3 linked regions of the Rhinolophus ferrumequinum genome follow. The protein of the gene in region 2 purifies or fractionates together with the protein of the main gene of each other region. This does not show direct contact. Links are inferred from orthologs where the notes say so. Each region holds a gene or a part of one and is shown on either strand. Other genes may lie near its edges.

Evidence for each region.
Region 1: the proteins of TCEAL1 (region 2) and USP11 purify together in Homo sapiens (affinity purification with mass spectrometry; 4 studies listed by BioGRID, counting the BioPlex papers as one, with this or other methods). This does not show direct contact. The link is inferred for Rhinolophus ferrumequinum from reciprocal best matches to the Homo sapiens genes TCEAL1 and USP11.
Region 3: the proteins of TCEAL1 (region 2) and KDM3A purify together in Homo sapiens (affinity purification with mass spectrometry; 3 studies listed by BioGRID and IntAct, counting the BioPlex papers as one, with this or other methods). This does not show direct contact. The link is inferred for Rhinolophus ferrumequinum from reciprocal best matches to the Homo sapiens genes TCEAL1 and KDM3A.

Annotation. Positions count from the first base shown.
Region 1 is NC_046284.1:86,668,933-86,676,431, forward strand, and holds the start of USP11 (ubiquitin carboxyl-terminal hydrolase 11), read right to left. Parts: upstream 3,055-7,499; 5' UTR 3,007-3,054; coding exon 2,861-3,006; intron 2,352-2,860; exon of another isoform or gene 2,202-2,351; intron 1-2,201. Other genes in the region: CDK16 (cyclin-dependent kinase 16), read right to left, coding at 7,016-7,059, 7,443-7,499.
Region 2 is NC_046284.1:51,310,887-51,318,438, forward strand, and holds TCEAL1 (transcription elongation factor A protein-like 1), read right to left. Parts: upstream 2,590-7,552; 5' UTR 2,484-2,589; intron 2,027-2,483; exon of another isoform or gene 1,973-2,026; intron 1,837-1,972; exon of another isoform or gene 1,718-1,836; intron 1,641-1,717; 5' UTR 1,629-1,640; coding exon 1,101-1,628; 3' UTR 551-1,100; downstream 1-550.
Region 3 is NC_046296.1:8,022,005-8,029,800, reverse strand, and holds the start of KDM3A (lysine-specific demethylase 3A), read left to right. Parts: upstream 1-4,717; 5' UTR 4,718-4,845; intron 4,846-5,350; 5' UTR 5,351-5,380; coding exon 5,381-5,566; intron 5,567-7,796. UniProt on the Homo sapiens protein: Histone demethylase that specifically demethylates 'Lys-9' of histone H3, thereby playing a central role in histone code.

The sequences.
Region 1 (7,499 bases), about 35 Mb from region 2:
AGCTATACTAGCCTAGATTGGAATTTACTCTTAAAATATTAGCTTCTCCTAGAAATTAAATCAATTGCCCTTACCCAGATCTACCAGCTGACAAAAGACAGAAGGTGCAAATATTAATATTGATACGAGGTATATGATTTTGGGGTTAGTTCATGACTTCAAAATGCTTTAAACACAAATTTCCTGACCACTGTAGCAAACCCCTAGAAAATAGGCGGCAAATTAAAGAACCTTGAGATGCTTTGCTCTTACCTAAATAGATAAGCATATAAAAAAATGGAGTTAAGGAAAAACGCTTCTTGATATTATCCACAGTAGCAGAGATAAACTGGCTTCAATACTGAACCAACATTGGTGGGTTAACTTTTTTACTGATATAACACACAAAAAATTAAATTAACAGAAAACGAACCATTTTAAAAACGAACAATTCAGTGGCATTTAGTACATTCACAATGTTGTGCCACCACAACCTCTATTTAGTTCCAAAACATTTTCAATCCCCCCGAAAAGGAAACCCTGAACACCTCTAAACGGGCCATAAAGACGTTCCAGTTATTGTTGTTTATTCTCAGGATGGACTGAGGCTTTTCCTTGGAGAGCCATAGCTTAACGGTGTAAAAAAGTGTTTGGTTCCGTATTGCGGATTTAGGGAATCTCAACCGTGTCTCTCCAGTAACAGGAATATATATATTTTACCAGTTCCGTGATTAAAGATCTCTGTAAGATGGGCAGACCTCCCTGTAAAGGCCATGAGGTGGGAGCCCGCTCGTGGCCTTAGAGGAACAGCAAGAGTCCAATATGGCCGGTTGGAGAAGGTGAGGGGGAGGGTAATCAGATCTGAGGAGAAATCAGAGCTGGGGACCAGCCTCACAATCATAAAGCCTTGCAAGCCACTAACAATTTTACCATTTACACTGCAAGAGGTGGGAAGCTGCTAAAATGTTTTGAGGTACAGATGGACATAGATTATGTTTTTGAAAGAATTACTGTGCATGGAAAGAGAAAAATAGTACCTTTACCGTGGAGAAACCGAGCAGATATCACCTTCACTACGTGATCAAGGCTAACGTCACAAACGACGTCATGTGGATACCATGTACCACCTGATACAATGTACACGGTATACATCCAATATGGTTTCATATATATTCTCCAGGAAAATTAAAGCTTAGACCACAAACACTATTTTTGGATGCATACAGTGGTGGAAAAACATTTACCAAAATTAAAAATTCAGGATAACAGTTTCCTGAATTTTCATCTGGGAGGGGCACAGAAGGCTTTCTTAAGGTAACCGTCTGAATCTTAACCCGAGTGGTGAATTCACAAATTTTTGTTTTATTGTTCTTTGTTTTTTTTTTTTTACTTTGAAACAGACTCCGAATAACTGCAAAAGTAATACAAAGACTTCACGGATGCCCGCCATCCAGAAGACCAAATTTAACATTTTACCCATTTGCTCGACCATTGTTTCTTTAAATACAGTTTTATATACCCTATTTTTTCAACCATTTGAGAGTAAGCTGATGATTCTTTACCCCTAAATATTCCGGCATGTTCTTCCTTCAAACAAAGATATTCTCTTTCACAACCACAACACAATTACCAAAAGCCAGAAATTAGCGGTCCTAATATCGAATCTACAGACCTAGTCAAATTTCACCAGTTTTCCCATTAACATCTTTTACAGTAAAGAAGAGAAAATTAATTTTATGAGGAAAAAAAGCCTCATTTTTCAATTATTTATTTTTTCTGCTCCGGGATCCAATCCAGGATCGCACGTTTCATTTAGTTACCATTAACTTGTTAAATCCCATTAATTCCTTCAATCTGGAACAGTTCATCTTTTGTCTTTCACGACCTTGAAATTTTTGAATAGCCGTTTATTCAAAACGGCCGTTTACTTTTATAGAATGTCCATCGATTTGGGCTACGTTAAACGTTTTATACAATTTGCTTAAGGCTTACGTATTTCATAATTTAAAAAAGGAGATACAATTCGGCAAAAAAGAAACTGAACTCAGAAACAGTAGATTTCACGCACTGGTTAGCCATGAAATCAGTAAAAAACAACCCTATTTATCGAGATACTCATTAACATTTTAAAAATAGCGCTTTTTTTTCCCTGAAGACAAAAAAATAACAGTACTAAAACAGAAACCAAATATAACATCGAAGGTCCCTCCCGCGCCAATCACCTGCACTTTCTTCCGACCTGGGAAGGCCTCGTCCGAAAGCAAAAACCTCGCCGCGTCACAAACTTCGCTCACTCGCCGGCGCCATTTTCTGCTTCACTAGCAACACCTCCCCTCTGCCGCAGTCTTTCCTTAGCCTCAGGACACGCCCCTCGGCGCACGTCACGTACTTCGTTACCAGGCGCGAGCCCCGCTCTCCCGCCCACAGCTCGGATTTCGCTCTTCTCCCTGACGTCACCGCCTTGCCTCGTTCTCAGGCTCCGTGGAGCAACCGCCCCCGCCCCCAGATTTACGTGACTCCACGCAAACCACGCCCCCAACCGCCGCCGGACCGCCTCCTTCCCAGGTTCCAAGTTCCTCTACGGAGGACCAGGCCCACCCCCAAGGCCGTTTCTTATCAGGCCCCGCCCCCTACCTCTCCATAACAAACCCCATCTGGTTCTCAGGCTTTAGGCTCCACCCCCGGGCCACGCCTCTTTCCCAGACCAAGCGATCACTCACAGGCACTTCCCCGCCCCTCTGCCCCGCTCGTTCTCCGTCCCACAGGCCACAGGCCACACCCCCGCCCCCACCGAACTGCGGACCTGGGCGCCAAGTTCTCCACCATCACCAACACCCCCACTATCCCTTTAGCCAAGGCTCCGCTTGCAGCCCAGTCTTACCAGCTTTCGCCGGCCCGTAGTGGACGCTCTCGCCCACTCTCGACGTTCTCAATCTGGCGCCGCTGGCTCTCTAGGCCCGGCACCGCTTCGCGCTGTGGCTCTGGGTCCTCGGCCGTAGCCGAAGGATTCGCTGCGACCGCCGCCATCGCCGTTCGTCCTCCTCTTACAGCCCTCGCAGGGGCATAGAGGAGTCCCCCTCAATTGGCACTTCCGGATTCTGGCCCGGAAACGGAAGCGGAGCCCCCCAACTAGCCGGGGGCTCCTACAATCTTGGAAATGGGCACCACGGTGGGACACGTCCAAGCGCTAGGCCGGCATTGGACCGTGGGTGGTGATGTTTCAGACTAATAGGCGGGGTAAAACCTCCAGTTGGGAGCTAAGAGAGACAAAGGTGCCTTGTGGGATCCTAACGCCATGTTGAGTCCCTGCAAATGGTTGTGTGGAGGGTGGAGGCAGAGGTCCCCGAGGTAGACGAGGACATACTGGGGAGTGCTCGAGGACACACAAAGGTACCAGGTCTTTTCGGTTCTCTGCTGGGGACCGCGGGTCCCTACCCTGGGAGCGGCGTTTTTGTTAGCCGGACCAGGATGCCCTTCTTTCAATGCACTACACTTCTCGTCTATCAAAATCCAATGCGAAAGAGGTCACCACCTCCACAGCGCCACCCAGGCCTGCGGACTGCTTCCCTGTCTGAACTAGGTTTGTTCTCTCCATAACCGTGTTGAATGGAAGTCAGCCCCAGGCCCTGTGTATTTATCGGAGTTACAGCAATGATAACTAGTAACAGCCTTAAGTGCTTTATTGCAGTAAATGGTAGCCTTAGGCAGCAGATATCAGTCGCCCATGGGCAACAGTGGAGCAAGCTGAGGACCAGAAATGTTACTTCACTTTGCTCCAGCCAGTAAGTGGCTGAGCTGTGGTTTGAATAAAGGAATTCCAGTTCGAGCTGTGACCTTAAACACCAGGCTGGAGATACTTAAACTGTGTTCCTAGGCTTCAATCCGTTCAGGAGGCCCTTTAGGGGGTTCACAAAGTCAAAAATAGTTTCATAATACTTTTTTTATTGTCATTCTCTCTTGCACGTGTGGTGGAAGTTTTCAGAGGCTTTGTGACAAAAGCAAAAGCTTTCTGGCTGTCCTCAACTTTAAAGAATATAAAAGGCTTGAGACCAAAAGTTTCAGAACCGTTACACTAGGCCAGGGTTTCTCAATCTCCGCACTGTTGGCATTTCTGTTTTGGGAAGTAGTGCAGGATGTTGCACTGCATCCCTGGCCTCTTCCCACTATACATACCGTTAGCGCCTCCCAGTTGGGACAACCAAAAGTGTCTCCAGACATTGCCAAAAGTCCCCTGGGGGCAGGGCAGGATTATCTCCGATTCAGAATCATTGCACTAGGTTATGCCATTCTTTTCTCTGCTAGGGCTCCCCACCCTCCCTATTGGTGATAACAGTAGTATCTCCCTCTGGTTCCCTGCATCTACATACTTGTATTTTGGTTATCCCCATCTGACCATCCCACAAACTCCCCAGGACAGGCTCACGATCCTGGGTCTGTTTCAGTGACTTCTTTCACTTCACCACCCCGTCCCACAGGCAAGAACACACCTCGCCTCTCCACACCTCTAGGCCCATGCATGCACACAGGTCCCTGGGCCTGGAGTGTCCAGAATACCTTCTCTGTGCACAATTTCAACCCGCCCCACATACACGATCTCATAATTTACCTCTGTGGGGCAGGGGTTGTCTTTATTACTGATTCCAGACCCCAGCCCAGACCTGGCACGGATGAGGGTAACAACTCAGCTGCATAATCTCTGAGGAAGAAAAGGGAGCAGCCCTTTCACCTGGGGGTCCCCATAGCGGCATTCAGGTTGGGTTTGGCACATAGCACATTGCTCATTGCTTTTCAAGCCCAGCTGCTCTCCCATTGCCCCTCTGCAGACTCCTCCTCCCCATTTACCTGGGTGGCCAGTCCTTCCTACAGTCCAAAAGGTTTCCCTCCCCAGGGCTGGACTCATTCTCTGCACCTTCCAGAAGCCCACCTCTGCCCACACCGGTGACCCTACCACTTCCCAGAGCAGTTGTGTGAATTCTAGCCTTTCTAAGGCTGGCCTGGCAATCTTGTCCCCCTTTGCAAGGTCTTCATTTTTCCAGCCTCCCTTGCTCCAGGAAGGGGGACAACTTCCTTATCTTGTTCTAGCCAAGAGATGGCACAGGAAGTTGCAGCCCTATTTGTTACAAGGAAACAGACAGGGAGGGAGGGTGCCCTGTTTTGCCTGCTTGCTTTCCCACCTCTGGGGCCATGACAGCCATCACGGAACCGTGAGGCTGCAAGCTGAGATATAACCAAAGTGCATACAGGAACACAGTGTAATGATTAGAGGCCCTTGGGCCCCTGCCGCTGGATTTCCGTAACCAGCATAGTTAGACTTGCTATTACCTGCACTGTTTACCTGGCCTTGCCCACCCCATCTCTTCTGCTTGGAAGTCGATTCTTGGCTTTGCCCAAAACGGTGGGACAGGGGCTAGAACTCTCAGGACAAAGAGAATGAAAGCCTCGGCTACCCTCACACTTTAGGCAAAGTCCCAGGTTGTGCCATTCGACCTGTGGCCTCTCACAAATGACTGCATCCTTCCCAGGGTTATCTCACCCACGTCTCACCGTGGTTTTCATTACTTCCTAGACACTAATGATCCAAACTTCAAGTTCCATTGATGGACTCACTCCTGATTTTAATCCATGTATTATAGGATTCCCCTACCCCCTCAGTGGTCCAAAATCCATCCTCTTCTCATATTCCTTCTCCAACTGGCCTGCCTTATGGTGTCCCAGTGAGACACGTGGTGGTCATACTGGGCCTTGCTGCCTCATCTCCCCACCTCCTGGTTTTGTGGGCCTTTCATGTATTTTCCAAACAGCCTCCCTACACCTTCCCGTCTCTACCCTCTAGCTGGCTTCCTCATATTCTTGGGTAAATCCAACTCCTCTGTCTGCTTGATTCTTAGCCCATCCTCTATCCAGCCTGCCTTACCTGCTTCAGTGTTCCACCGGTGTGTGTGCAAACCCTGATGCTTTTTTCATAGCTGTGACGTGTCCCTGGCCCACTCCCCGTGTTCTCCTACACTACGGGGACCAGGTATGAATTCACCGTGGTCCCAGCACTCACCCTGGGTCAAGCCCACCCTCACCCCTGTAGGGATTTTCAATCACGTTTTTCACTTTAGACTTTTTAATATTTCATACAGCGATTATGGTGCATTCAGGAACCCAACCCCCCAAACCCCACTAGGAGGGCACCCACCCCTGCCCTCCCACCCCATTTGAGGGACCCAGGGTTTAGAGTGGAGGAAGGGGAGGTAACCACCCATCTGGGACTGACCCCAGAGACTGTCCCTGCCCTGCCTCACCCTCCCCAGGGGTTAGGGGCTAACGCCTGGGCACAACCCCCCCTTTTGCCCCCCTGTCCCTGCCTGTGCACATATACACTATGGCTCCTCACTGAGTTGGTCAGTTCCCGGCAGGGCCCCTACTCAACAGCACCGAGTGGGATGGGAGCAGGAGGGCTGGGCTAGGGAGACCCTGAGAAGGAAAGAGACCCCAGCTGTGGGACTGCAAGAGGGAAAGAGTGGGGGCCCCCACCTTGTCCATCTCCCAGAGTCTCCAGTAGGGCCCAGGTACCCCTGTGGCTGGGGATGGCCGGCGGGGGTCGGAAGGCGAGTAGTTGAGGCATGCTTTCCCTTAGCCGACCCCAGGGTCTGGTGATGGTCAGGGTTTTGAATAGGGGCTGTGTCCCTGCCTTGGAAAGGCTGGGAGTGGGGCTTCATTGCACAAAATACTGTGGAAGGGCCACACGCAGGGGGTGGGGCCCAGCCAGTCTGTATACAGAGATATTGCATTTAAAAAATGAAAACCTCATTTAAAATAATTAAAAAACAATGAATGAAACAAACAAACAAACAAACAAACGGCCCACAAAACATGAGGCAGGTGGGGCAGGCAGGAAAGCAGGCAGGGACAGTCTCAGACCCAAGGCATCGCCACACCTTGTCTGAGTCGAGAACCCCTGCCTGGGCTAGCTCTGGCCCCCTGGCTAGCCAAGGGGTAGTGAGTGGTCCTGGGGGAGGGCATGATGAGGAGGGGTACAGGCCTGGCCTCAATGTGGGAGGCTGGCACGGCCATGCTGTCCGCCGGCAACTACTGAGACAGAGAGAAAGAGACAAACAGACCAGGCGAAGGAGCATTGAGAGCTTTGTTAGCACCCAGCAGACAGGCCAATGGGTGGGTTGACAGGCCAATGATCGGGTGTTTGGACAGGCAGCAGGGGACATGTGGGCAGGTGAGCATGAGTCAGGCAGGTGGCAAGCAGGGAGGATGCAGTTGGGGGCTGCCCTGTGAGGGGTATGGCATCCCTCCAGCTGCTGCCTGCTGGGGCCTGGGTCTGTGGCTTAGAACTCGGCTTAGAACTCGGTGTCCACCACACGGAAAGCTGGCCTGCCTGTGGGCAAAAGCAGAGCGGATGGCTGTTGGTGGACAAGCAGGTAGGTGGATGGGGCAGGGAAGAGGGTAAGAGCCACACCTACCTGAGTCAGGCATCGACGAAGAGCGAAGGCTGGCCTCCTTTTGTAGCTGGATCTCCT
Region 2 (7,552 bases):
ACATTGAGATTTAGGCAGCACTGGGATGGTATCCACTTGGATAAGTGTAACATGAAAGCTGGAGGAGGGGCATTCACCAGATACCTGTGGGAGACACAGTTCAGCTTTGGTCCAGCAGGAACTCGGAAGCAATCGGTGAGGCTCTGCACTAAAGGATTGGCTGTGATGGAAGCCGTGGAAGAAGCAGGATCCAGGAGAAGGGGCAGCTGTGCCCAGCACACATGGCAGTATCCAAGGGAAGATAATAACAGGACAGAAACAGAATGTGGCACTCACCTGGAATCTCACAGGAATTGTGAGTGCATGTGCATGTGAGCCCTCCTTTGGGTACCAGCCCCAGGATTTGAAGGGGCTCTATTGGGGTTGGGGTCCTGCATGTTGCAGGTGGGGAGAAAAACACACAGCTCAAACGATCTTTACCTCATTTGATTCCACAGCAGCCCTGCAAGTCAAGTATTATTCCTATTTAAATGGGAAAAGAATGACCCTTAAATATAAGTACTTGGTTTATATTTCTGCCTAAGAGCTTCAGAAGAAACATGAGATTTACTTTAAGTTCTGACAAGTATTTATTAAGTGCCACATTGTCTTTATAAACTGATAGACAGTTTTTTAATTGCTTTACATTTTTTCCCATTATATTGGGTTTTTTTTTGCAACACAAATGTGTTCGTCTTGAAAAAACGAGAAGTTCCAACAAAGCAAACATGGAAAGAAAACAGACAAAAAAGTCATCTATTATCTTATCACACTTAGATAGCCACTGTTAAGCCTTTGAAGTATATACTTTCAGTTTTTCTTTGCATATTAATATATAAATATACATTTTTTACAAAAGCAGGATATTACATATACTTTTCAAAAATTGCTCTTTTCACTTCACAATATATAACGTCCATCTTGACATGCAAATAGGTGAGACACATGATTGGAAGAGAGAGAATTGCAGATGGGGGATGGAGTGGAAGCCCAAGTGAAACACCTTAAATAAAGCCACACAAAAAATTAAAATGAAGAAGATGGCCAGAGGGATACGAGACAATGCAAAGTTCAGGTGGCAATACTTAAATCAGGCCAACTAGCATCGAAGGCCTGACACATTACATAGGATAAGGACGGTTCCGTCTGGCCTTCCAGTGCATGATCATCAATTTGTTTCGTACTCTTTTCATCTCTTCCATCTCCTCTGCTACCTTTATCATCTCCTCGTTGCTCAAATTTCTACCGTGTATGTCCCCTCTAAATTGCGGGCGAGAACGAGCCAGCCTTTCCTTAAAGCTTCCTTCTTCCAGCTTATGTTTCCCCACTCCACAAGGAGGCTGCTCCATGGGAGGGCGCGCCTCGAACAGGTCCTTCCGAGAAAGGCGCTCCTGAGGGGGGCGCTCCTCCGCCACCAGCATCTCCGGCAGGAGCTCGGGCAGGAGTTCCTCGGGAAAGAACTCCTCCTCCGAGGACTGCTCCTCGGAGGACTGCTCCTCTAGACTCGGCTCTTCGGACGACGGCTCCTCTGGACTCGGCTCTTCGGAAGACTGCTCCGCGGGAGGTTGCTCCTCCTCCGTCTTGGGCGCGCTCTGTGGCTGTTCTTCATTTGCTTGGCAGGATTTTTCCATGTTGGCAATGGTCTTCATGAGCAGTTAATTCAGAGGAGACAAGAAAGGCAGAGTCGAGTCAGCATACTTGGTGGTTGGACCAAAACCCCGGCCTCGGGTTCCAATACTTGCCTTTTGCTGATTGAGGACCCAGGTCCTCCCACCTACACAAGCCGAGAGGCTCAGGTCCCGGGGACCCGGCCGCCTCTAGTGCCCCCGCCCGGCTCGCCCCCTCCTTCCCGAAAGCCCACCGTTTTCCCAGCAGGCCTTGCCCCGGGCCTCTCCCGCAGTGGTAGGGGCGGGGCGGCGGCGCCGCCTGCTCCGCTCCCACCGGCGTCCTCCCTGGGACCCCATCTCGGTCCCCTGCCCACCCCTTCCCGGACCTCTCCAGGCTGTTGGCTCCCGAGCGTTCTCTCCTGGAGGTGCCCCGCTGTGACCTGCAGACCAGCAGACAGACGCCTGACAGGGTAGGGGGCGGGGGGAGGGGAGGGGGAAGGACTGACCGACACTCACGCCCCTTTTCTAGACACCAGCCGCCGCCCCCGCGCCATCCCCTTCTGGCTCCCCCCATGCCTCCCCTCACCCCCATGTCTCCCCCCATCTCAAGCTTCGTCTTCCGTGCCCCCACCCCCACCCCGTAATGCTCGTTATTTCTTTTCAGGCGGGAAGTGGAAGCGAAGGATTACTTAGAAACTATTTCTAAGTGTAGCTCTCCCCTGGGGGTGGCCCACTCACCACCCCACCCCACCCCACCCCCCAAGACCACCATTTTCTGCACCGAAGTGCGTGCGCGGTGCTGGCATAGGGATAGGCCTGGCCTCTGCCATCCCGATCCCAGGGGTTACAGGGCAGCACCGGCACTCACACCGATTTCAAAGGACCAAGGGAACTTACTTATTTCTGCTTTTCCCTTCGACCAAAGGGCAATACACAGATGGTGTGTGGACAGGCAAAAAGGACCAGGACGAGAGGGACTTGGGCAGACATAGGCTCCTGGTCACGTGAGAGCCGCGCGTCACCGCGGAGCTCAGATCCCCAGTTACCACTTTGACCCGCGGCCTTGCTGCAGGAACCTGCTAGTATTTCCTGACCCCCCAACGCTCCAGGCATCGTCACATAGCTCTTTGTTTATGTTTGCCTTTTCCTGGTTACCCGAGACGGTCAGCGTCCAGTGCTGGGGGTTATTGCCTTTTCCTCTTCCTCTCATTCTGGCTTCATCAGCCATCAAGGCCCATTATTTTCCCTACAGTTCAGATCCTGCGCTGAAGTTGACTATTTCTCTTTAACGAATCAATATCATATGCCACCTCTCCCAGTTTTAATCCACGTCTATAACTCCATCGTGTTCATTTAGGCTCTGTCAGTATGGTTTTCATCTCTTGTGACTTTCATGGGAGATAAGCTTTCACTTTTCCATGACTTCATGATTTTATTTTATTTTAAACTTTTATTTACTTTAAGTTTGTTTTCCCAGGACCCATCAGCTCCAAGTCAAGTACTGTGTTTCCCAAAAATAAGACCTAGCTGGACCATCATCTCTAATGCTGTCTTTCAGAGCAAAAATTAATATAAGACCCGGTCTTATTTTATTATAATATAAGACAGGGTCTTTAATATAACATAATATAATATAGTATAATATAAGATCGGCTCTTATATTAATTTTTGCTCCGAAAGACAGCATTAGAGATGATGGTCCGGCTAGGTCTTATTTTTCGGGAAACATGGTAGTTGTTTCAATCTAGTTGTGGAGGGTGCAGCTCACACTGGCCTGTGTGGGGATCGAACCGGTAACCTTGTTGTTAAGAGCACCACGCTCTAACCAACTGAGCCAACCGGCTGCCCCCACATGGTTTTATTTTTTGTGAGCCCCAGACCTATATGACAAATAGAAGCTCCTGTCTAAATTGGTAATCATTCAGTGCTAGAATGCTAGAAAGAATTAAGTTTGTAAGTCTAAAAAGACCAAATACTTTGAATTTCATAAATCAAAATACACCTTTGTCCAAGTACAAATAGTCTGAAAACTTATTTACTATGTGAAATGGGAGCATTTTTGGTGGAGAGTGTGATATTATTATATACAGAAGGTGCCAAAAAAAATGTAGACACATTTTAAGAAAGGAAAACTACTAAAATTGTAATACTCAATATATACTGGTAACAAAAGATGAATACAAGTCACGTTTGACTTCTGCAGTTACAAGAGGTGCTCAAAGTGGTTACCATCAGCATCCAGATACTTCTGATTATGGCAAACTACCGCTTGAGCAACATTGACCAAAGTCTCCACTTGTATACGTTTTTTTGGCACCCCCCAGTATATATGTGTGTGTGTGTGTGTGTGTGTGTGTGTGTGTATGTATGTGTATACTATTATATATAACATACTAATATATATACTATTATCTATACATATACTATTATATATATGTATATATACTATTCAGTCATTTTTTCATAATAGAAGTAAGATATTTTGCTGGTACTCAGATCCTTAACTAGCCACCGCTTGGTGTTGCTGGTTGAGAAAGTTTATATTAAATCAGCAAATATTTGGATCGTGGGACTGCTGTACCCAGAAAGATAGATTCAGCACAGACGACATTCATATTAAACTGTGAAATAAGTCTGTTGACCACATACTGTGTAGCAGGATTAAAATCATGGTAACATACTCAATTGTCATTACAAGTCTGTATTTTTGGATCTAATGGTGTTTTATAATCTTCAACCTCATGCCTGCATCTCACCTACTCACATCAGCCTTGATGCTATTTTCTCAGGCAGATGCCCTTTCTTCCAGAGAGCAGACTATACCTCTCCTGTCTGTATTTTACACTTTCAACGTAGGTGGCCATCAGATCTGTGAGGATCCTGGGATTGCTTCTTTCAAATCCAGGCTGTCTAGTGAGTTTCTAAACAAATTCATATGTGAAATATACCATTTTGTTGCTTTTTATTCAACATCTAAGTTACTTTGAGCTGAGATAGCAGCAAGACAGGTATCAGTTCACCTTTATATCTTTTCCATAACTTTTCAATTTTTCAGTAATGTCTTTTAAACCAAGTTTCACTATGTCTTCCTTATTCTTTGCACCAAGGGTTGACTTCATCATTTGTATGGTTTCTTTCCAAGAGGAGCTCCATTTCTTTCATTTCTTCATTTGTATTCTTTTTTCCCTTACATCCCATGATGGAGAACTCACTACCTTAAAAGACACCCTACTGAGATTTCAGGCAGTTCTAATCATTCAGAGTGGTTTCTTGTTGTTGTTGAGCTGAAATCTTCCTCCCAGTAGTTTGTACATATTTGGTCCTGGTTCTGCCCTCTGGAGTGGTACAAAACAAGTATGAAAGAATGAAAGAGCCTTTTACCCTTGGTAGCCTGACACTGCCAGAGTTAATGTTCTGGTTCTTTCCCCTTCCCATCTGTGAGACACACTGGGCAATCTACTTGACCTTTCTGTGACTCAGCTTCCTCATCTGCAAAATTGGAAACATAGTAGTACTTACCTCATAGGATGGGTAAGAGGAATAAATAAGTCAGTATATGTAAAGGATCTGAAATAGTCCCTAGCATATAGAAAGCACTCTATAAGCCTTAACTATAATAATAGTAATCATAATAGTCGTATGACAGTGCTAATAACATTACTAATTATCATTCTCTTATTATTAATTGAGCACTTATGCCGGACATTTCACTGAACACTTTCAGTATGCTATCTCATTTAATCCTTAAACAATTATGTTCTTACCAAGAACCTCCCCAGTTATTTCACCTCTTTCTGATGTGACATATTTTTTTAAAGTCACTCACTATCCTACATACTCCTGAATTTGTAAATGGCTCTGAAAATACTGAATGTTCTGCCTAATGTAGAATGGAGTGATCTTATCACACCCTTCATTCTAGAATAGCCACTATGTATCTATAGATGCATCCTAAGATCATAGTAGATTTTTGTGGATACCATACAATACAGTTGAATCCACTTTAAGTTAGTCAACTGAAACCCTCAGATCTGTTTCATACATCCCTGTTAATGCACTTCTGTAAGTCATTTTAGTTTTAACCCAAGTACAGAAGCTTCTGTTTTTCTGGGTTAAATGTCTTCAATTCATTCCCTCATTCTCTGAATCCAGATTTTGTCATTCAGTACATTAGCTACAAAGTATTAATTTAAAGCACACCATTAGTACTATGTAAATAGGCTGGCAACTTCAACAAGCTCAGCAAAGATCTAGGAGCGATCGGCAAGGAGCTCTGACTCCAAATGAAAAAATTCCTTTTCTCTGTGGCAGCCAGGAGTGTACCCTACTCGGCCAGTTTCTCTTCCTTTCCTCTCTCAGTGTGACTTCTCAGGGTGGGATTACTTGCTAGTGCTGCTGATAGAAGACACAGTTGCCCCTGAAGGCTCCCAAGCCAGTACAAATTAACCCTCGTGAGAACTTGGTAAGCGTGATGGGCTCAGCAAGGGAGATAGGAGGAATTAGAACCAGGAAAGGAGGAAGGGACACAGTGTCTTCATATATTGGCTCTAAGTCTCTGCCTGACAGTAGCTGATTTGGGGTTCCCTTGAGAGAGAGGGCTCTTTAAGAAGGAATAGGTGAAGGTGGTTCTGCCATGGTGACAACCATTTGTTACAAAGGAATGTGATCAGCTACGTGTTTGTGTCTGGTCGGGGTGTGGGGCTGTGAAATAATCCTTCTGATGAATTTGATTTGATAGTGCTGATTTAGGGTCCCGGGAGGACATGTTGCTGAGCTCACTACTGCTTCCGTGTTTCCCCAAAAATAAGACCTAGCTGGACCATCAGCTCTGATGTGTCTTTTGGAGCAAAACTTAATATAAGACCCGGTCTTATGTTACTATAAGACTGGGTAATATAATATAATACCGGGTCTTATATCAATTTTTGTTCCAAAAGACACATCAGAGCTGATGGTCTGGCTAGGTCTTATTTTCGGGAAAACACGGTAGTGAAGGTTTAAGTCTAAGTACCTCTGTTTAACAGGTGAGATAGCTAAGGCTCTAGGAGGTTGCAGATTGTTTCCATGGAAACACATGAGCTAGTAAGCAGCTGAGATGGGATTTAAACCCTGCAGTATGACATGAGAGATTGAACCTTTAAGCAGTTTGTAAAACCGCTCCTGGGCAGTGGGCTCCAGACATGTTTATGTGCAGCACAGGCCTTTTCATGTCGCAGGAGCTGAAGGTGGGCAGAGCAGCCATGCCTGCAAGGGGGAGGGCAGTCAGCCCCTGGCAGCTGCTCCCATGACAGTAGTCTCCAGGGGCGTGGCCTTTCTCTGAGGGATCTAAGGAAACCCAGGGTGGGTTTCTGGTTCAGGGATTTCTGTACCCTGGTGAGGCTGCACTTCTGTGGCAGTGCCAGAGCACCCCCTCCCTCAAAGCCCTTCTACAGCACAAACTCCACCGAGGTCTCTCTCATTTTACTGTGCAGGGCTTATCTGCTTGGAGTTGAGGAATTCTGCCCTCTCCAGCCCAGTTCCCCCTACTGCTGCTGCCTCTGCGTTCTTTCCTAATGACACCCATGGCAGTACTTTGGCCTCAAGACTTGCTGCTGTGGGCTGCAGCAGGCCCTGTCCAGCCTGTGGCTCCCCAGCCCCATGGGAAATAGCCAGGTGGGAAATGCAGTGACTACAGCCTTCTCTTTTCTGCTTCTGGTCTCATCCTGCCTGGGCAGAGAGAGAGAGAGAGAGAGAGAGAGAGAGAGAGACACTTGTACATGCCCAGAGAAATAAGAAAAGGGCTCTGAGGAAAGGTGGGGTAGCAAAAAATCAGGCTGCTGGGAAACACGCAGGGACAGGGAAGGCAGGTCTAATTTGTGTTGAGGGGAGGCAGCACCAGGCTCTGGGCTGCGCAGGACTTGGGCTGTCACTCGCCAGAGGGCTCCAGAAGCCTGGGAGCCTTCTACCTCTCTCCACACCTCTGTGTC
Region 3 (7,796 bases), on a different chromosome or scaffold from region 2:
GAAGGACTACATAAAGAATGAAGTTTGTTCAGAATATACAAGTCAGGGGAATCAAAAATGAACATAAAAGCAATAGATTCAAACTGCCCAAGGTTAGCTCAATATTTATTGAGCAATTGCTGTGTGTTAGGAACTAGAGTCAAATAAAAATAAAACGGGATGAAAAAACCCAAGCATAATTAGAATGAGAAGGTAGGAAAGCCTACTTCAGATCCAGGGAACACAAAGAGTGAGGTCAAGGCTGAGTCAAAGGCAAGTTCATCAGGAGTCATGGTCTCTAAGGGCCAAAAGTTTCAAACAGTGGATCACAGTCAGCCCAGCTGTTATCAATGGAGTAATCAAAGCAAACCAAGTTGACTTTTGTTTCTACTTTGGATATAGAAAGCTTCAAGGAAATGTTGTTCTCACTGTGATGATGAGAATGAGCTGGGTAATCTATAGAATCATACTTATTTTAAGTCCATTAGAAGCTCTCAAAGAAACCTAATGAATGAAACTCCAAGAAATGACCAAGTTTTATGAGAGAAGGGACCCATGCTTGAGTTCATTCTTGGTAGATCAGCAGGAAGACCAGAAGAAAGCATCCATAGATGTAGGCAAAAAGAAAACAGCTGAGTTTTTAATATAATTTTAAAGGCAGGATGTGGTTTGGAATGACAGTTTAAATTCCTGGATTTGAAGACACAGGGGAGTCTGAACCAAACTGCCAACTCTTTTCTATAGATCTTTTTCACTGAGTGCTCACAAGAAAGGGTAGGGCAGGACATCTGAGAGAGACACCTGAGGCACCGATACACCAGGCCTGTTGAAGTCTGAGGATGAAGCAAGAGAAGCAAGTGCTTCTCCAGAAGCGCACTGGGCCTTACACTGAGTATGAGGGAGCAGTTATCTGTCCCTGGAGGAGAGACGGGTAAGCTGAGAGGGAGTCCTTATGAAGAAACCTCACAAACACTCCAGGCCTTACACAGAGTATCAGACAGCAGCTATCTACTGCTTGGGTGATGGGCAGGAGAGCTCAGAGAGACTCCTAAAATGCAGTGGGACCTGCTGACATCTGTGGGTAGGTCAAGAGAAGGAAGACAACTCTTCCAGGCACTCAGATCCCAAGTTCTGTTAAAAGAAAGCTTTGGATACCACTAGGCCACAACGAGGGGGCTTGGATTCTGACTCCCCATGCCAGGCTAGTACTCCTTACTTTTTTGAGCTCAAACATTCCATGCCAGGCAGCCTCTCCTTATGAAAACCTACTTTGCTCGGCACTCCTAATGGCTTTAGGATTGAAGTGTTCAGGAAGAGGAAGTGAAAGAGAAGGAGGAAGGAAAGGGGAAGGAATCTTAAAATATTTTACTAGATTTTTTTATATTTAGCTCTTTGATCCACCTGGAACTTATTTTTCTGAATGTTGATGTAGGGATCTGTGTCACATTTTCCCTAATGGGTAACCAATAGACCTCATAGCATATATTGAATAATTTATTATTTACACTTATTTGAAATGGTGTGTTAATCATAAACTAATTTTCATAAATACATGGGTCTGTTTTTTTATTATTTTAACTATATATTTCTATTTTGATTCATTCATTGAAATTATAGTTTAATTTGAGGAGGAATGACATCTTTACTATAACAAATCATATAAATAGAGGAAGTTTTTAAAATCTTTTTTATTACATGTCAGAAAATTCTTATAGTTTTCTCGAGATAGGTTTTGTTCTTTTCATGTTATGTCTTTTTCTTAGGTATTCTGTAGTTTTCATTATTATAAATGGTTTCTTTTTTCTATTATATGTTCTAATTGATGTTTGTTATGGAATAGGAATTCTTTTGATTTTTGTTTGTTGATCTTTTATTGCACCACCCTCTTGATTCTTATGTTAGTTCTAATTGTCATGAATGCTCTTGAATGTTCGTGTGGTCAATTCCATTCACAGGATTTTAAAATTAACTTTAAATTCCAATAGCAACACAAATACATTTGCCTTATAAAAATGAATTGCAAATAATGCTTATTGACCAATACCCCCAATTCTAGTGTGAACCCATCAATACCACTAACCATCACTATGACTTTTAATATATATATTTCACAGAACATATATAGTGTTGTTTTTATATGTGCATTTTTAAATAGTACCAAATATAACTTTCATTTTTATTCAAAATGTGTTTTGCTAATCTATCCTTATTGATACTCATATATATTTCATTCCTTTTCAAATGCTCTACTTCTTTCCATTATACTACATTCCATTTATTTATTCCCCAGTTGAAGTACATTTAGATTGTTTCCATTTTTTCACAACCATAAACAATGCTGAAATGAACAATCTTATTAATAGCTCCCAGTGGTATGTATAGGTGTTTTTCTAGGGTAGATACCATATATTCCTGGGTTTCTAGAAAGCTTAAATTATTTTTTAAAATAATGAATAGGTATTGAATATACGTGTGCTCTTAATAATCCTAGTTTTCTAGGTAGTTCATTCTTCAATGTGAATGCATGTTCTTTTTAGCCCCTACTAATACGAACATATGATTTTTCTTTAAACCAGTTGTGGTGAATTGTAGTAATTTTCTAATCTTGAATATCCTTGTATTCATATGATAAACCTAATTAATCGTGTTGGTTATTTTTAAAATATACTGTGGGATTTAATTTGCTGATATTTTATATAAGAATTTTCCATCTATAATTCATAAGAATGACTTAACAATAGTTGTCCTTTCTTGTATTCTCCTGGTTCAGATTTGATAACAGGGTTTTGCAAGCTTTATAAAATGCATTGGATCTCTTTACATCTTTCCTAAGTTCTGGAACCATGAATATAACATAGGAGTTACATGTTCTTTAAAATTTGGTAGAACTTGTCCCTAGCAACTGTTTCTCAAATTAGTAGTTTATTAGTAGTAATCTAAGTCCTCCATACCCTCACTTATTTTAAAAAATCTATCTGAGGTGCCTATTTATGGGATAGATATATTTATATATTCTACTTTGACTACAAATAGTCAAAATTTCCTTATAGATTTAACAGTTTAGTCTTAGCTTCAGCTAGGTAAGCTATGTCTTCAGAGTCATAATAGTTCAAAAGTATATATTATCTTTGCGAACTTTATCTTTTTTTAATATAAGATGCTTTTCTCTTTTGATGCTTTTACTTTCAATTATGTTAATATCACTTTATTAATTTTGTTAATATTGCTTTCCTTCAATTTGATTAGAAAATATTTTACCCCAATATTTTCAAGTTTCCTTTGCTGTCATTGGAGTTTGCTTGTAGGCAGTTTGTAGCTGGAGTTTGTTTTTAATCCATTGTGTCTTTTTAACTTATGAGTAAAATTAATCCATTTATATTTATTGTAAATACTCATATGTGGACTTATTCCTCTCATTTAATTTTTTTCTATTTACCATATTTCCATCAAGTGTTTGCTTCTGTTTTCATTTTTGACTTTTGTTGAACCGGATAGGTTTTCATTGTTCCATTTCCTCATTTTTAATGGTCTACAAATTATAAATCAAATTTAATTCTACAGGGTTTATACTCAATTTAAAAAAATTAGTATCAACTATTTAGAACATATGTTCACAAACAATACCTGGAGTTAACTTGCATCTATAATCCTTTGAATTCATTTCTAAACTTTCTCTGATTCCCAGTTCGCACACTTGTATAATTGGGAGCACAAGTTCTTCACTCATTATTTTAAGGATTAAATATGATGCCATATCAAGTACCAGATTTTATAAAGTAAGAGGTCTTCAATTCCTTCATTCCATTTCTTCTTCCTTCAACCAATAAACTTCAGGTCCAAATCACACAATCATCTCATCTCCTTTGTCCTTCAAAGTCACAGCCTCTTTCGTATCTGTGGCATCATTATGGCCTTCATTTAGTCTTTTAATTTCTTTGTTAGTCTCAGAATATCTTCTCATCCTCCCTTTGCATATATAAAAAAAAATCCCATTCTGCATTGTACTGAGTGGCCTCTCTAGATTTAATGAACGTCACTCCATGCCTTTCTTCATTTTTCCTACAAAATGGCGGACTTTAGACGTTCCATGATCAGCACCACGTGCGCCTGCGCCTCCCGCGGCCATTTCGCCCGGCAGCCCAAGATCCTGCCTCAGGTCCGCGAAGCGCCTGCGCACGAGCCCGCAGAGCACTGTCGCTCCTCCCTCTAGTTGAGTACGCCTGAAACCGCACGTTCTTGTCCCTTTCCTCCCCCGCAGACTCTGCACCGCCTTCACCCCTTTCCTGTGAGATTCTTCCGCCAAGTGGAAAGCCCTTCTTCGGTCGACAGGCTATGCCCTTGAGGAGCAATCTAATAGGCTCTTACAGCCCCGGGGTTCGTCATTCAGTCCTATCTGTGCACCACTGCAATTGTCCTCTGGGCCCTAAAGTTGAGAACCGATTTCGCTGGACTTTTTTGCATACCGTGAGGCAATAAACGTAAAGAATGGCTGTGGCGGAGGGATCTTTCGCTTACGTTCGGTGTAGTTTAACCTAATGGGGGTCGTCCGGGAGTCGGAAGGGGGAGGGCAAAGGGAGGAGGCAGCTAAGGAATTGTTTTTTTCTCTCGCCCCGCCCTGGGCAGGCCGGCCAATTGCGATGGGCTATTTCCCCACGAGCCTTACTCAACTTCTTGGACTCAGCCAATGAACGACGGAAGCGGCTCCGAGGGGGCGGGCCCGGGAGGCAGTGCGTGTCTTGTGAGAGCTCTTGAACCAAGTCAGAGCCTGAGTCGGCTGGGCGGCTGGAGTCGGCGGCGGCCGCGGGTGACTCAGGGAGGCGGGGTAAGAGCGTCGCGGCCTCGGCTCCGGGGAGACGAGGAAGAAAGGTGAAGGAGCCGAACCCGCATCCCCCGCGCCGCAGACGGCGGCGAGGGGCGGCCGGGCATCGGCGGCCGGGAAGCGGGGTGTCGGGGCGGGGCAAGTGCGGAACCGTGGGGGACCCGGCCGCCTGGGACGGGCTCTCTGCATCGGGGCCTTTTCCTTTCAGGGGTGAGGGGTTCCGAACACTTTAAAATCCACTTAAGCCGCCAGTCATTCTCCCCTCACTCTCTCTGTATGTAGGTTTACGGTTTTGGAAAAGCGAAACTTGGGAGAGCGAGGGTCACGCGACGCTTGGGCCCGTGTTTGCAGTGGGGGAGGGATCGGGGCGCGGGGAGGGTGCGGTTGGAGAGGTCGGGTGAGGGTCCTCCTTCGCACCCGCCGCCGCCCGGGGTCTTGTCCTCCGCGCGTGGGTAGGACCCTTCCTTCTGCACCCGCCTCCCATCGACCGCCCTCTCCCCGGCCCCCCACCACCTGCCGCCCCCATTGCATTTTGGTTTTGTGTTTTGGCAGGGAGGAGCCCTTCCTGCAGGCGTGGAAACCATGGTGCTTACGCTCGGAGAAAGTTGGCCGGTACTGGTGGGGAAACGATTCCTTAGTCTGTCCGCAGCCGACCGCAGCGACGGCGGCCACGACGGCTGGGACGCGGAGCGCGTTGCCGAGTGGCCCTGGCTCTCCGGGACCATTCGAGCCGTCTCCCACACGGACGTTACCAAGAAGGATCTGAAGGTAAAACCGGCACGGAGGCCTCGGCGGTAGGACGTTTCGTACTTACCTTGATCCCAAGACAGCTAGCACCCTCCTCCCCTTTTGTGAAAAGGACGATCGGAAAGAAAGTTGGCATCTGACCTGAAGGTGCAGAAAACTAGACCTTAAAAGTTTGTGAAAGGGTTGTGTAGAGCCGAGGTATGTCTGGCGTAGAGTTGCCTGGGTCTGCAAATGGGCTTAGGGTTGTTCAGACATGTTTCGGTATTGCCGGCGCTGTGCCCCATTAGGACTGTGTGACGATTTCTCCGGAGGGGGAGTATCGTTGTTACTATTAAGCTGGGCAAGTGAGTGACGTTTGGAATCATTAAGAATTGAGGGCTAGTGCTTGGAAGTGCTTCAGTTGGCTTTTATGTTTGTTCCTCTTAATTTCTTCACCCAACTTCATGAACTTTCAGTCCTGTTAGAAATGATGTGTGCGTGTAGGAGGAGGAGCTTGGTTGTATTATGCACATTAGGGTGGGTATTTGTCCATATATGGTGGATCAGGGCAGGAGTGGGTTCCTGGTTGTGTAAGATGCATCTGTGGGTGGGTGTGGGATAGGACCATATATGGAGGGATGGGGTGGAGCTAGCTGCCCCTTCTGTGGTGTGTTGGAGGTTTGACTTGGAAATATTCCACTTGGGTGTTTAGAGAGAGGGAGAGAAACGAGAACAAGTGCGGCCAGGGATTTTTCCAGTTACATCTTTTCAAAAAGAGATGAATTCTGATTGTACTCCCTAATAGAAGTGTTGGTGTGAAAAGATTGTCTGGGAACACCAGTGAGGAAGCCATTGTACCAACAAAGACTCCTTTGTGCAAAAATAACTGAAAAAGGTCCCTAACAAAGACTCCGAAGTGATGATAACCTGAAGGAAGCTTGTCAGGACAGAAGAGATTTCTACCCAGGGTAATGGATGTGTTTCAGTGTCTTGGTCATTCATTATCTTTGCTTTTTTCTTTTTTTGAAAACTATACTCAAATAAGGGAAGCAACTTTTAGCATTGGCAGTTAAATATGTGTTAATTTCTGAAACGATTCATTTGAATACTTTCAAGGTGACCATGCATGCCTAAACCAGTATTACTCTGCAAAGGGTTTTGGGGAAAGGACGTGTGGTTATATATTTTTAAAGCTTCCAGTGTGCCTTGTCTTCATGTTGAAAAAAAGGAGTAACCCATTGAGCATTTAACCATGTGCCACAAATCCTGCTGACCACTTCACAGCCATGATTTTATTTAATCCTTATAGCAGTTCTTCGGAAGTAGTACTAACATTGCTCCTTTTTACAGATAAAAATCCTAGGGTTGGAGGGGGGAGATTAAGTATCTTGCCGAAGGTCACATACCTAGGAATTGGCATAGGCTGTGTTCTAACCCAGGAAGTTTTGACTTCTGAGCCCACCCTCTTAATCATCATGCTCCCTGATCAAGGGCTGTGCCACAAAGGGCTCTTGTCATACACTGTAAAGTTTGGTTTTTTCTCCGTTTCACTCCCAGTAAACCAGGTTTTGATGTTATAGAAAGAATGTAGCGTGGTGCAGAGATGGCCAACCTATTTGCTTCAGGCTAATAATCTTTCTCCATAAAATGGGCTTTGTGTAGTAGATTTCAATCATAGTTGTGGTTTATTTCACCTGGCAAATACAGTGTTCTCTAGTACATTTGTTCTTACCTGATTTGAATGGGAACAAGATTTGATTTAAGCTGTACACTCTTTAGTTCTTTGGCAGATGATGAGAAGACTGTGTGTTCTCTTCTTCAACAGCGATTGAGGACCATCGGGTTAGGAAGGCAATCTGGGAGGTCCTATATGTGTATTCTTTTTGATCTCCATATCTCCCCACCCACCCCCAGCCTTTGAGATGGTGGCATGATCTTCATTTTTCAGAATGAGTAAATGGATTTAGGAAAAGGAGTCTTGTCTAAACTTGCATAATGAGCTACTAAGTGATGGAGGGAGGATTTGAATCTAGGTTTTGCTGTGTGTATGTCTTTTCCACTGAACTAAGGTGCCTGACATGGAATTTTAATTCAAGAACAATTTTAAAAAAATTTTTATTTATTGGGGTTACATTGGTTAGTAAAATTATATAGATTTCAAGTGTACAATTCTATAATCTATCATCTATGTATTGCATTGTATGTTCACCACCAGAGTCAGTTCCTCTATCACCATGTATTTGACCCCTTTGCCCTCTTCTACCACCCCATT